Linked DNA regions of Anolis sagrei. The protein of the gene in region 1 binds, or shares a complex with, the protein of each later gene. Links are inferred from orthologs where the notes say so. Each region holds a gene or a part of one and is shown on either strand. Other genes may lie near its edges.

What was found. Proteins that work in one complex are often made in the same cells at the same time.
Region 2: the proteins of GPSM2 (region 1) and NUMA1 are in contact, whole or in part, in a crystal structure (PDB 6HC2), measured with the Homo sapiens proteins. The link is inferred for Anolis sagrei from reciprocal best matches to the Homo sapiens genes GPSM2 and NUMA1. Residues at the interface, in NP_001307967.1 of Homo sapiens: Ala28, Leu29, Glu32, Cys35, Lys36, Phe47, Lys59, Thr60, Ser62, Ala63, Ile64, Ser66, Gln67, Asn70, Ala71, Phe73, Asn110, Lys113, Tyr146, His153, Lys157, Pro164, Gln165, Arg203, Gly206, Asn207, Asn210, Tyr213, Leu214, Arg228; in NP_006176.2 of Homo sapiens: Ser1901, Phe1902, Tyr1903, Met1904, Gly1905, Thr1906, Cys1907, Gln1908, Asp1909, Glu1910, Pro1911, Glu1912, Leu1914, Asp1916, Trp1917, Asn1918, Arg1919, Ile1920, Ala1921, Leu1923.

The regions. Positions count from the first base shown.
Region 1 is NC_090024.1:112,850,062-112,857,521, reverse strand, and holds the start of GPSM2 (G-protein-signaling modulator 2), read left to right. Parts: upstream 1-4,449; 5' UTR 4,450-4,546; intron 4,547-4,565; exon of another isoform or gene 4,566-4,774; intron 4,775-4,814; exon of another isoform or gene 4,815-4,834; intron 4,835-7,460. UniProt on the Homo sapiens protein: Plays an important role in mitotic spindle pole organization via its interaction with NUMA1. Required for cortical dynein-dynactin complex recruitment during metaphase. Plays a role in metaphase spindle orientation.
Region 2 is NC_090023.1:4,833,826-4,841,278, forward strand, and holds the start of NUMA1 (nuclear mitotic apparatus protein 1), read left to right. Parts: upstream 1-4,446; 5' UTR 4,447-4,476; coding exon 4,477-4,490; intron 4,491-7,453. UniProt on the Homo sapiens protein: Microtubule (MT)-binding protein that plays a role in the formation and maintenance of the spindle poles and the alignement and the segregation of chromosomes during mitotic cell division.

The sequences.
Region 1 (7,460 bases):
TCAGTGCAGAGTAGGACTCCCATGATTCCATAGCATTGAGTCATGGCAATTAACGTGGTGTCAAACTGCATTAATTTTACAGTGTTGATGCACCCTGAATGAAAGCAGATACGGAGGTTTATCTTGTACCCTTGGTACAAAAAAAGAAGTGCTGTCCCACATTGCTGATGGGAAAAAGTAGTGTTTGGTTTCAAGCATCTGGGAATCCTGCTGAACATTTAATAAACTCTACAGTAATAAGTGGTTCTCTCATCCAACCCATCAAAACAAGCCTTGATGTTGACTAGTGTTGCCTGTAGTCAGCATTACAGTTTCTTTTGATGGGTTCCATCAGATCAACAGGCGTTGTGAGAAGCACATTCCATGAGCTGAAAGAAAATTACAAGGGTGTTCCCATCTCAATGTATCTTCCCACAAGTAAATATTTTGACCTCTTGCCAAGAGTTTCAAGTCAACAGCTGTAATTATCCTAAACTGTCCTCTGGCCCTAGCAGGTTAATAAATATTCCTCCAACTAATGATTTTTTTTGCCCCCCAGGCCACACCTTTTGTTGGAGGTATAAGAGGGGAGAAAGGAAGCAATATACATGTGCCATGAACAAAACACATGTTCTTCAATGCATATGGATACGTTTTAAATTTCTGCTTTCTGTTGAGATCTAGGATAAGAGAAAAACAATGATGGCCCTTCAGCTCTTTCAGACTTCCAGAAGATCCAGCCAGAATGGCTAAAGGTACGAATTGTGGGAGCTTCAGTTTCAAACATTTCAAGGGGAAAATGTTTTCTAATTTTTTTAATAGTGGCAGTGAAAATGTCTCCAAGGCTACAGCAAACTACAGTAGCATTGTTTGTTTAACACCAATATCAATAAAATTAAAGTCTCAGGAAATGGTACCCATCTTTGGGCAGCTCCATGGTATTCAAGAGAAAAATTGATAGGATCTTCCAGATTCAAGGAGTACACAATCATTGTTTGAAAGGCCACTTCTTTTAGTACAGCTCTGGTCTAACATAGAGAAGGTACACAATGGCAAATTATCAAAAATACATTATCAACGGGTTTGTTCTGTTCAAGTTATTTCCAACTTATGGTGCCCCTACCATGGCGATAGGGAAAGGCAGAGCTCCTCAACACCTTTTTTGCCTCAGTCTTCTTCCAAAAGCAGATTTGTGTTCAACTTGAGCAATACGAAGAGGCTGAGGCAATAGGGGAAATGCAACCCAAAATAAGTAAAGAAGTAGTCCAGGAATACCTGGCTTCTCTAAATGAATTCAAGTCATCAGGGCCATATGAACTACATCCAAGAGCATTGAAGGAACTAGCTGAAGCCTTTTCAGAACCACTGGCAATAATCTTTGGGAATTCTTGGAGAACTGGAAAAGTCCCAGAAGTCTGGAGGAGGGCAAATGTTGTCCCTATCTTCAAGAAGGAGAAAAAGGGGACCCAAACAATTACTATCCAGTCAGCTTGACATCAATACCAGAAAAGATTCTGGAGCAGATCATTAAGGAGGCAATCTGCAATCACTTAAAAAGAAATGCTGTGATTACTGAAAGTCAGCATGGATTTCTGAAAGACAAGTCATGCCAGACTAATCTTATCTCTTTTTTTGATAGAGTTACAAGCTTAGAAGATGCAGGGAATGATGTGGATGTAGCATATCTTGATTTCAGCAAGGCCTTCAATAAGGTCTGACCTTCTTGCAAACAAACTAGTCAAATGTGTGATAGGCAAAGCTACTATTAGGTGGATCTATAATTGGTTAAGTGACCAAACCCAAAGGGTGCTCACCAATGGTTCCTCTTCACCCTGGAAAGAAGTGACTTCTGGAGTGCTGTAGGGTTAGGTCCTGAGCCCAGTACTGTTCAACATCTTTATTAATTACTTGGGTGAAGGTTTAGAGGGCATGCTCATCAAATTTGCAGATTGCAGCAAATTAGGAGGGATAGCTAACACTCCAGACAACAGGATAAGAATTCAAAATGACCTTAACAGATTAGAGAACTGGCCCAAAAGCAACAAAATGAATTTTAACACGGACAAATGTAAGATGTTACACTTAGGCAGAACAAATGAAATGCAAAGATACAGAATGGGTGATGCCTGGCTCGACAACAGTTCATGTGAAAAAGATCTAACAATCTTTGTGGACAACAAGTTGAACATGAGCCAACAGTGTGATGCAGCAGCTAAAAAAGCCAATGGGATTTTGGGCTGCATCAAAAGGAGTATAGTATCTAGATCCAGGGGAATCATAGTGCCTCTCTATTCTGCTCTGGTTAGAGCTCTCCTGGGATACTGTGTCCAATTCTGGGCACCACAGTTCAAAAGAGATATTGACAAGCTAGTAGGTGTCCAGAGGAGGGCGACTAAAGTGATCAAAGGTCTGGAGACCATGCCCGATGAGGAGCGTCTTCAATTACTGGGTATGTTTAGCCTGCAGAAGAGAAGGCTGAGAGGAGACATTATAGCCATATATAAATATGTGAGGGGAAGTCATACGGAGGAGGGAGCAGGCTTGTTTTCTGCTGCCCTGGAGACTAAGACTCGGAGCAATGGGTTCAAATTACAGGAGAGGAGATCCCACCTGAACACAAGGAAGAACTTCCTGACTGTAAGAGCTGTTCAGCAGTGGAACTCCTTTCTTGGAAGCTTTTAAACAGTGGTTGGATGGCCATCTGTCAGGGGTGCTTTGATTGTGCTTTTCCTGCATGGCAGGAGGTTGGACTAGATACCCCATGTGGTCTCTTCCGCCGCTATAATTCTATGATGGTGACTAGAGAAAAATGTGCTGCAGAATGTTCTGCAAAGACAAAGTTTTTTTCAGTTTAATACACTTCTTCTGTTTTTATGATATAACCAATTAGGAAATGACATTTATGACCCAGGAACAAAAATCGTGTTCCATAGTGTCATCAAACCCACAAAAAGTCAGAAATAAACGGGGGGGGGGGGGGTTGGTGAAGCCCCCCAACCCCCCCCCCCCCCCCGGCCACATGCCTGTATTGTGGCTTATCTGCCTTGATATTCTGGGTGATATGGTTGTGCAGGAGGGCCCACCGTTCATTCTCATGATGGTCTGCGAAAAGGCCTTACTGGTACATTATTTAAACTGTTATGTTTATTTATATCATGATCTGATCACCCTGCTCAATATATCTCATATGCATGGGGGTATTGGGGTAACAATACAAAAGGTTTGCTAAGGTACGGGCCTGCCACAAAATATACTTTGAACTGGATTATCCGTATCCACACCGCAACACAATCCAGTTCAATGTGAATTTTATACAGCTGTGTGGAAGGGGCCTTAGGGATGATTAGAAATAGGAGCTGGGGCTTTATATGAAATGTATGTTTTCAGTGTCTCCTGAAGCATTCTCCCTTCAAGAGAGATATTGACAAGGTGGAATGTGTCCAGAGGAGGGTGACTAAAATCATCAAGGGTCTGGAGAACAAGGAGCGGCTTAAGGAGCTGGGCATGTTTAGCCTGAAGAAGAGAAGGCTGAGAGGAGATATGATAGCCATTTATAAATATGTGAGAAGAAGCCACAGGGAGGAGGGAGCAAACTTGTTTTCTGCTTCCCTGGAGACTAGGACACGGAACAATGGCTTCAAACTACAAGAAAGGAGATTCCATCTGAACATGAGGAAGAACTTCCTGACTGTGAGAGCCATTCAGCAATGGAACTCTCTGCCCCGGAGTGTGGTGGGGGCTTCTTCTTTGGAGGCTTTTAAACAGAGGCTGGATGGCCATCTGTCAGGGGAGATTTGAATGCAATATTCCAGCTTCTTGGCAGGGGGTTGGACTGGATGGCCCATGAGGTCTCTTCCAACTCTTTGACTCTAAGAGGGCACTGCCACTCAGATAACTCACAATATCTGCTTTGAACAGGGTTATCTGAGTCCACACTGCCATATAATCCAGTTCAACGTGGATTTTGTACAGCTGTATGGAAGAGGCCATAGGCAATGGTATCCCAAGGTACAGGACTGGGTGACTTTGGTCAAGCCAGACCTGCTCAACATCAGAAGGCCATGACAAACCTGTCTTAGCAATCTCTGTGGAGAAAACGTTGGGGGGTTGTTAAATGCCTTCCAAACTTTTCTGTCACGGGGCTTTCTGAGTCTGCCTCACCCAGTGGGTTTCCATAGGAGAATGGGGCCTCCAGAGCCGTACTCCACGGCTCGAACCACTATAACTGGGCCGCCAGACGACAGGACCATCTGGTCCAAAACCTTCCACAAAATACCTCAGCGCCCTCGCGCTTCTCCGTCCAATCCGGATCCGAGTAACGCCGCACGTGACTCCCCCTCCAACCCTGAGGGAATTCAAGAACGAGGAGAAAGGCCTCCTTGCGTTCCTATTGGCCAATGCGAAAGATGCGCGCGAGCGGGGGCGTGGTTCAGCAGGAACGGCCCTCCTTAGCGTACAAAACGTCTCGTAGACTAGGGAGGGAAAAAAAAGAAGCCAAACCTGCAGGACGCATGCGCAGTTCGGGAGGAAGGCGGTTGGCTCGGACCAACCCTTTTGGTGGCGCGAGGTACAATGAGGGGAGGGGGGGGAAAGAGTTCGATGGTGTAATGCGATTGGTTGAGACGGCTTCGGGGTGCACGAGCCTTCCTTTTTTTTAACCCTTGGGGGAGGGGGTTGTGGCTTAGCGTGAGTTATGATTGGCAGCCCCGCGAGGCGGAAGAAGGGCTGTGAGGCGGCTGTCCAGGGTGGCTGAGGAGAGCGACACGGGCCGAGGCGGCGGCGGCGGAGGAGCAAGGTCTGTTAATGGGCGCCGTGAGGGAAACAAACGTCGGGACCCGAAGACTCCACCGCGAGGGTGCGAGGGACAGGAGGAGGGAGGGCACCTGGTATTTCGGTGCTGGTTAGAAGAAGAAGAAGAGGTCTTTGAAAAAGGGGAGCCATTTTGAGGAAAGCCAGACGGGGTTCACAGGCTGGAAAAGGGAGCATTGAATGGCGAGGGCGGGAGTGTGGCTGGGCTATTCATACCTATGTTCTGCAAAAGGTGGCTGGGGTTATTATCTACAGATAAAGCATCCCAAGCCTGAACCACTTGGGGACAAAAGTATTTTGGCTTTCGGATTCTGTAATATCTGCAGCCACATAATGATGTTCCTTGGAGTCCTGTACCTTGGGATATTGTGCCACCTGTATGAAGATGACACCGAGCTGGACTACTCCTTCCCACCTAAAGCCAAGGAAGCTGTCCTGACCCTACTTATTTATTTATATTGTGCCACCTGTATGCAGATGACACCGAGCTGTACTACTCCTTCCCACCTAAAGCCAAGGAAGCTGTCCTGACCCTACTTATTTATTTATATTGTGCCACCTGTATGCAGATGACACTGAGCTGTACTACTCCTTCCCACCTAAAGCCAAGGAAGCTGTCCTGACCCTACTTATTTATTTATATTGTGCCACCTGTATGCAGATGACACCGAGCTGTACTACTCCTTCCCACCTAAAACCAAGGAAGCTGTCCCGACCCTATTTATTTATTTATTTATTTATTTATATTGTGCCACCTGTATGCAGATGACACCGAGCTGTACTACTCCTTCCCATCTAAAGCCAAGGAAGCTGTCCTGACCCTACTTATTTATTTATATTGTGCCACCTGTATGCAGATGACACCGAGCTGTACTACTCCTTCCCACCTAAAACCAAGGAAGCTGTCCCGACCCTATTTATTTATTTATTTATTTATATTGTGCCACCTGTATGCAGATGACACCGAGCTGTACTACTCCTTCCCACCTAAAGCCAAGGAAGCTGTCCTGACTCTACTTATTTATTTATATTGTGCCACCTGTATGCAGATGACACCGAGCTGTACTACTCCTTCCCACCTAAAGCCAAGGAAGCTGTCCTGACTCTATTTATTTATTTATATTGTGCCACCTGTATGCACATGACACCGAGCTGTACTACTCCTTCCCACCTAAAGCCAAGGAAGCTGTCCTGACCCTACTTATTTATTTATATTGTGCCACCTGTATGCAGATGACACCGAGCTGTACTACTCCTTCCCACCTAAAGCCAAGGAAGCTGTCATTACTCTATTTATTTATTTATATTGTGCCACCTGTATGCAGGAGCCCCCGGTGGCGCAGTGGGTTAAACCCCTGTGCCTGCAGGATTGAAGACCGACAGGTCGCAGGTTCAAATCCGGGGAGAGGCGGATGAGCTCCCTTTATCAGCTCCAGCTCCTCATGCAGGGACATGAGAGAAGCCTCCCACAAGGATGGTAAAAACATCAAATCATCCAGGCGTCCCCTGGGCAACGTCCTTGCAGACGGCCAATTCTCTCACACCAGAGTCACTCCTGACACGACAAAAAAAACCAAAACAACCTGTATGCAGATGACACCGAGCTGTACTACTCCTTCCCAGTTCTGAGGAGCCCAGCTGAAGAAGGATATTGACAAACTGGAATACATTCAGAAGATGACCAGCAAAATGATGATGATAATAATTGAAACTTAATCCAGACAAGACAGAGGTATTTCTGGTCAGTCGGAAGGCAGACCAGGGAATAGTGATCCAGCCTGTGCTGGATGGGGCCACACTCCCCCTGAAGTCACAGGCCTGCAGTTTGGGGATCCTCCTGAACTCAGTACTGAACCTGGAGGCCCAGGTGGCTGGGAGGGTCTTTGTACAATTAAATGTGTGCGCCAACTACGCCAGTTCCTTGAGAAGCCAGATCTGGCAACAGTGATATATGCCTTAGTTACATCCCCTCTGGATTACTGTATCACGCTCTATGTGGGGCTGCCTCTAAAGAGTGCTCAAAAACTTCAGCTGGTCCACAGAGCTGCAGCCAGGTTTCTCGCTGGGGCTGGCTACAGGGAGTTAACAAACCCTGTTGCAGCAGCTCCACTGGCTGACAGTCTCTTTCTGGTCACAATTTAAAGCGCTGGTTATGATCTTTAAAGCCCTAGATGGTTCAGTTCCAGGCTATTTGGCCAAATACATCCCCTTGTATGAACATGTTTGGGCCCTGAGATCTTGAGGAGAAGCCCTTCTCTTGGTCCCACATCCATGTCAAGCTCGTGGCCTTTTCGGTGGCTGCCCCATGATTCTGGAACTCCCTGCCAAGGGAAATCAGAATGGCCGCCTCCCTGCCATCCTTCCAGTGGCAGGTTAAAACCTTTTTATTCAGGCAGGCTTTTAAAGAAGGTTTTTAAGATCATCAGGGTATGCTGTAATTTTGTATGCTTTTAATGATTTTTAATACCAGTTTAATACTTGTATATTTGTATATTTCAAGTTGTATTGCAATGATTTTAGTTTTAAGCCACTTTGAGTCTCTATATGGAGAGAAAAGTGGTATATCATAATAATTATAGAATAATATTGTTATCTATGAGGGAGGACCCTTCAGGTGACACTGAAAACATACATTTCATCTTCCCAGCTCCTATTTCCAATCATCCCTCAGT
Region 2 (7,453 bases), on another chromosome or scaffold:
ACATTCATTGTAATGCATTTTCTGTCTTTTGGCTTTTTAAGTGTTTTCTGCTGTGTTTTCCAGTGTTTTATGAGTGATGGTCAGTTGTTGGCCTGTTAGGTGTATTGTGTCCAAATTTGGTGTCAATTCATCCAGTGGTTTTTGAGTTATGTTAATCCCACAGACGAACATTGCATTTTTATTTATATAGATGCTAAAGAGATTCTGTAATATGAATTAATTTTATTGTTACGGTCACAGACCAAGAGTATTGTCTAAGGGGGAACTTTCAAATTTAAAAAGTGGTTGAGATTTTACTCCCCAACCTTATGAACTGGTTTCAAAAAGCTGAACTCCTCGTTATCGGCATTTCAGCTAATGTAAGGTACCTTTGAAATAGGGCGGCAATGTGTTTCTCTGCTAGGGAAAGTCTCTTGAGTGTGTGCCAAGAGAGCAGAGAATGCGATTGACTTCTGCTTTAAGCAATGGACCTGTTGTAGCCTCAGAGCACACCGGGCCTCGCTATCTCATTCTGGAGGGCAGTCCTAGCAAGAGGCAAAGCAGGCCTCTCTTTCTCTGTGGCCTCCTTTCCTTGCAGGGTTTGCCAGATTGGGCGGCGTTCAAGGTCCCTGGGGCCCTTGCAGGAATGTGCCTCTTTCAAACAGCTGTTTCTAATGAGCGCCTGCAAAGGGATGTCTTGCAGTTCAGCAGGCAGCAAAAGAAAAGAAAAAAAAAACCCAAGCGGGATTTAAAATGAATTGCTTCTTATCTTCCAGGGGTAGTCTTTATATTCCATCAGTTTATTTATTTATTGTTTAAGCGATTAGCAGGAAATATAGTAACTCACTTGCCTTATGTTTATGTTAACCAAGTTCCAACTCCTTAAGTCTTAATTGCAGGGCCAACTTGTGTCAGGGTCTACTGCGGGTATTACTATACCGACCTGTTAATTGCAGAAGTTTATTTATTTATCGTGTCAGTATCAACCAGACAATTGTATTAAAATTTTAACAACAGACAAAACAAGAGTTTGCAAGCTTAGTAGTTGATTAAATGTCCTTTGACCAGTATCTGGCCCCTTGGAGTGCCTCTGGTGTTGCTGCAAGAAGGTCCTCCATTGTGCATGTGGCGGGGCTCAGGTTGCATTGCAGCAGGTGGTCAGTGGTTTGCTCTTCTCCACACTCGCATGTCGTGGGTTCCACTTTGTGGCCCCATTTCTTGAGGTTGGCTCTGCATCTCGTGGTGCCAGAGCGCAGTCTGTTCAGCGCCTTCCAAGTTGCCCAGTTTTCCGTGTGCCCATGGGGGAGTCTCATTTGGTATCAGCCATTGGTTGAGGTTCTGGGTTTGAGCCTGCCACTTTTGGACTCTTGCTTGCAGAGGTGTTCCAGCGAGTGTCTCTGTAGATCTTAGAAAACTCTTTCTTGATTTAAGTCGTTGACGTGCTGGCTGATACCCAAACAGGGGATGAGCTGGAGATGTCTCTGCCTTGGATTGCAGTAGTTGAGGTGACCTCTGTGTTGCAGTGAGGCCTTATCAGGCATGGGCAAACTTCTGCCCTCCGTGTGTTTTGGACTTCAACCTCCACAATTTCTAACACCCTACCGGCTGTTAGGAATTGCTGGGGTTGAAGTCCAAAACACACTGAGGGCAGAAGTTTGCCCATACCTACCTTAGATGGTGCCTTAGCTTGGACCTCTCTGTTATTTGCGAAAGTGACAGACAACAGTCATATTTTGGGAGGGCTTGGATTGTGTGCATTCCTACCTAGAGGAAGAGGGTTGGACCGAATGGCCTTGTGGGGAGTCTTCTTTCTTTTAGCTGCTTCTGGTTTATAACTAAACCTGGTTCTGGGTTGTTGTGAGTTTTCTGGGCTGTCTGGCCATGCTTCAGAAGCATTATCTCCTGACATTTCACCTGCATCTATGGCAGGAATCCTCTGAGGTTGAGAGAGGTCTGTTGAAAACTAGGAAAATGGGGTTGATATATCTGTGGAATGTCCAGGGTCGGAGAAAGAACTCATATTTTATGACCATCTAGGAATTTAAGATCTTCTGGGAAGGTCCTGCTCTTGGTCCTGCCTTCTTCACAGCTTCGATTGGTGGGGACGAGAGATAGGGGCTTCTCTGTGGTGGCCCCTCGGCTGTGGAAACCTCTCCTTAGGAACATTAGGGAGCTCTTAATATTATTAATATTTTGTTAAAAAGTCAAAACTTGGCTTTGTGAGCAGGCTTTCTCAAATGCAGTGTAGCAGATAACTTCTTGACCTCGAAACGACTGGACAATTGTGATCGTATAACGATTGGGTATTGAGATGTGGAGGATTTATGCATTTATTGATTTTACTGTTTATGTATGTTTTTTGGTCGTGTCAGGAGCAACCGCTCCTGTTGTGAGAGAATTGGCCGTCTGTAAGGACGTTGCCCAGGGGACGCCTGGATGATTTTTGATGCTTTATCATCCTTGTGGGAGGCTTCTCTCATGTCCCCACATGAGGAGCTGGAGCTAATAGAGGGAGCTCATCCGCCTCTCCCCGGATTCGAACCTGCGACCTGTCGGTCTTCAGTCCTGCCGGCACAGTGCTTTAGCCCTCTGCGCCACCGGGGGCTCCTGTATGTATGTTATATGCATTTTTATGGATGTTATATGCTTTAAGGACTTTTATGTGTGTTATATGCTTTAAGCTGTTTTTATATTATTGTGGCACCAAATTGTGCCATTTTGTAAACCGCCCTGAGTTGGCCTTGGGCTGAGAAGGGTGGTATAGAAATATAGTAAATAAATAAATAACATCTGTTGGAGCTAGGTGTGAATGTTTTAATTGGTCACCTTGATTACCATGAGGAGCGGCTTAAGGAGCTGGGCATGTTTAGCCTGAAGAAGAGAAGGCTGAGAGGAAACATGATAGCCATGTATAAATATGTGAGAGGAAGTCATAGGGAGGAGGGAGCAAGCTTGTTTTCTGCTGCCCTGGAGACTAAGGTGCAATGGAGCCATGGCTTCAAACTACAAAAAAGGAGATTCCACCTGAACATTAGGAAGAAGTTCTTGACTATGAGAGCCGTTCAGCAGTGGAACCCTCTGTATTGTCGAAGGCTTTCGTGGCCGGAATCACTGGGTTGTTGTAGGTTTTTTCGGGCTATATGGCCATGGTCTAAAGGCATTCTCTCCTGACATTTTGACCTCCCTACCTCTGAGGATGCTTGCCATAGATGCAGGCGAAATGTCAGGAGAGAATGCCTCTAGACCATGGCCATATAGCCCGAAAAAACCTACAACAACCCAGTGGAACTCTCTACCAGGGAGTGTAGTCGAGTGTGGTGGAGGCTCCTTCTTTGGAGGGTTTTAAACAGAGGCTGGATGGTCATCTGTCGAGGGTGCTTTGAATGTGATTGTCCTGCTTTTTGGCAGAATGGGGTTGGATTGGATGCCCCATGGGATCTCTTCCAACTCTAGGATTCTATGAACACAAGGAAGAACTTCCTGACTGTGAGAGCTGTTCAGCAGTGGAACTCTCTGCCCTGAGTGTGGTGGAGGCTCCTTCTTTTGAGGCTGGATGGTCATCTGTCAGGGGTGCTTTGAATGCGATTGTCCTGCTTTTTGGCAGAATGGGGTTGGACTGGATGGCCCATGAGATCTCTTCCAACTCTTTGATTCTATGATTCTAAGAACTTCCTGACTGTGAGAGCTGTTCAGCAGTGGAACTCTCTGCCCCGGAGTGTGGTGGAGGCTCCTTCTTTGGAGGCTTTTAAACAGAGGCTATATGTCAGGGATGCTTTGAATGCGATTGTCCTGCTTCTTGGCAGAATGGGGTTGGACTGGATGGCCTGTAAGGTCCCTTTCTTTCCTCTGCTTCTGGTTCATAAATAAACCTGGAGGAGGTTTCCTCCTGCAAGCTTCTTTAGGCCCAACTCGGGCTCTGGCCTGGCCTGCGCCTATTGGCTGTGACGTCAGCTGGCACCTCGCCTGTCTTGGGGGGGAGGGAGGCGGGGTTAGGGAAGGAGGGCGGGGCTGGAGGGAGAAGGGGGCGGGGCTTGTGCGGGCCTTGAGCAACAACTTTTCTTTCCTGGGGCGCCTGCGCGCGCCTTGGCCACCCTCCAGCCCTTCCTCCCTCCTTCCTCCTCTTCCAGGTTTCAAACGCTAATGACGGATTAAACATTTGGCGCCCAGAGAAAGAAAAACTGTTTGGCTTTGCTACTCCGGTAAGGCCTGGACAAAGGCAAAGGGGGGGGGGGTGCTTGCTTGTTGTTTCAGGAGGGAGGGAGGGAAGTAAATAAAGAGGGGGCTCCTGCCTGTGTCCGTCCCTAATTGCTTCCCCCTCCCTCCCTCTCTCTCTCCTTGGGAAGAGGAGGAGGCTCAGGCGAGCGCAGTTGGGCCTTCCACATCCGGGCACTTGCCTGCCTGCCTGGACGGGCCTTCCTCCTCTTAATCTAAGCCAGGAGGAGGGAGGGAGGGAGGAAGGCCTCAACATACAGCCAGGCAGTTTAGCAGTCTTTGAGGATGAAGCCTCGGAGGTTTGTTTGCCTTTCCCGCGCCTTCTCCTTCTGGACTCCTTATGAAGGCTTCCTGGTCCTTCCTCTGAAGGAGAGGCCTCCCTTTGTTCCTTCTGCAAGGCAAAATTCGGCCCTCCCCTCCAGGTGTTTTGGACTTCCAACTCCCACCATTCCCAACTGGGGGGCACCCAGTTGGGATTTCCTGGTTTAGCTGCCCAGAGGGATACCCTTGCTGTTGCTGGAGGGACACCAAGAGGAGTGGTAGTTCCCATAAAGCTTTTCCTTGATTTGAGTCTACTGGGAGGAGGCTGGTAGCCATGTAGTGGGTGGCTTTCACAGTGTTCAACCTTATTTCTCTTAAATTTAGCAGCAACTTCCCATCAAGTTTGCAGACGACACCAAATTGGGAGGGATAGCCAATAGTCCAGAGGACAGGAGCAGAATTCAAAACGATCTTGACAGATTAGAGAGATGGGCCAAAACTAACAAAATGAAGTTCAACAGTGACAAATGCAAGATACTCCACTTTGGCAGAAAAAATGAAATGCAAAGATACAGAATGGGGGACAATGCCTGGCTCGAGAGCAGTACGTGTGAAAAAGATCTTGGAGTCCTCGTGGACAACAAGTTAAACATGAGCCAACAATGTGATGTGGCGGCAAAAAAAGCCAATGGGATTTTGGCCTGCATCAATAGGAGCATAGTGTCTAGATCTAAGGAAGTAATGCTACCCCTCTATTCTGCTTTGGTTAGACCACATCTGGAATATTGTGTCCAATTCTGGGCACCACAATTCAAGAGAGATATTGACAAGCTGGAATGTGTCCAGAGGAGGGCAACTAAAATGATCAAGGGTCTGGAGAACAAGCCCTATGAGGAGCGGCTTAGGGAACTGGGCATGTTTAGCCTGAAGAAGAGAAGGCTGAGAGGAGACATGATAGCCATGTATAAATATGTGAGAGGAAGCCACAGGGAGGAGGGAGCAAGCTTGTTTTCTGCTTCCTTGGAGACTAGGACGCGGAACAATGGCTTCAAACTACAAGAGAGGAGATTCCATCTGAACATTAGGAAGAACTTCCTGACTGTGAGAGCCGTTCAGCAGTGGAACTCTCTGTCCCGGAGTGTGGTGGAGGCTCCTTCTTTGGAAGCTTTTAAGCAGAGGCTGGATGGCCATCTGTCAGGGGTGATTTGAATGCAATATTCCTGCTTCTTGGCAGGGGGTTGGACTGGATGGCCCATGAGGTCTCTTCCAACTCTTTGATTCTATGATCTAGCTTGTAGGGTTTATCAACAGGTGTAGGTTTAAGACATCCTGGGATAATTCTGCATCTTTCGTTCAATGCTATGTTCACCTGCTTTGCATGGGCAGACCTATGCCAAACAGGGCAGGTATACTCGGCAGTTGAGTCAGACAAGGCCACGGCTGATGTCCGTACTAATTTTGGGTCTGCACCCCATGTGCTGCCAGTAAGTTTCCGCATGATGTTTTTGCGTCTAATTGATAGTTACAGTAGAGCAGGCATGGGCAACATTTTCGCTTATCCAACATTCTGCTGGCCCATTTATGTTAGATAAGCGAGACTCTACTGCTTTGCTACAGCCCTGTTGCTGTGTGAATTGTCCTTCATAAACAGCAAAGAAACAAGTGTGAGGGCGACAAAGTGCACACTGAATCCCTTCTCCTGACAGCTAGTAATGAACCTTTGGTCCTCCTGATGATTTGCTCTCAGCTTCCAGAAGCTCCAGGCAGCATTGTGTGAATTGTAGCCCTCTAGAATGATTGACGGCTTTGACAGGAAAGCATTGTGGTTGTCACTACAGAGCGGGTGATAGTTGGTTTTCAGAAGGAGTGAATGCCTAAAAGATGCCCCTGCCACCTTCCCTGCTCTAACATATTGCACTAGGACAGCAAGACTGTCATGACAGCTAATATATTTACTGTGGTGCCTGCTTTTGTGCATCTAATTCTTCAGATGCATGAAGTGAGCCATGCTAAGGGATTCCTTGTTCCCACATGGGTATTTTTATTTTATTATTATTATTATTTAATTTTTAATTATCACATTTGGCCCAGCCATAAGTTTTTAAATGCTTGTTGTTTATTGTTACTGTTTATTGTTTATTTTGTTATGAGATTATTTTGATTGTTTTGTATTGATGTTTTGTGATTGCTTTAATTATTGTTGTTCTATGGCCTCGGCCTCATGTAAGCCAGGGAGATGGTAGCGGGATATAAATAAAGTATTATTATTATTATTTCTTTCATCTTTTGTGAATGTTGTTCCTAAAAGTAGGAAAGGAAGAAAGTGTTTTCTCCTTTCTTTATGACACGTTTTTATTTAATGTGTGCACCGTGCATCTTGTAAGAAAGTTGGAGAAAGAAATTTTTGGAGAAAGTTGGAATAGAGATAAGTGTTGCTTGCCACTCTATTTTACACCCACCTGCACCCCAATTCTTTTTCCCCATATACTTAATTGTTGTGGGCGAGCAAGCCAATTCTTTCCTCTTCCTTGGGCCCCATTTTCTTTTATTTCAAGTGACCTGATATTTAAGCATTTAGCCATAGACTTAGTTTTATGGATCTGCATGACTCTTCTGTTCTTCAGCTAGGCAGAAATGAGAGTGGACTGTTTTGTCAAAATTCTGTAGGTCCTGAAAGGCCGTGTGGATTTTGATTGTTGCCTAGTAAAGATACTACTTATTTGTCAATTTTTAGATGGGGACCTGGATGACTGTCTTTCTTACATTGTTAGAATTAGTGAAATGAACAACCATATGTTTCTTAGAAGCCTCCAGTGCAACTGCATGTGCTCAAGCCAATCAGTAGCTGTTGAGTTTTAATGTATGTCAAAGGCTTTCATGACCGGAATCACTGGGTTGTTGTAGGTTTTTTCGGGCTATATGGCCAAGTTCTAGAGGCATTCTCTCCTGACGTTTCGCCTGCATCTATGGCAAGCATCCTCAGAGGTAGTGAGGTCTGTTG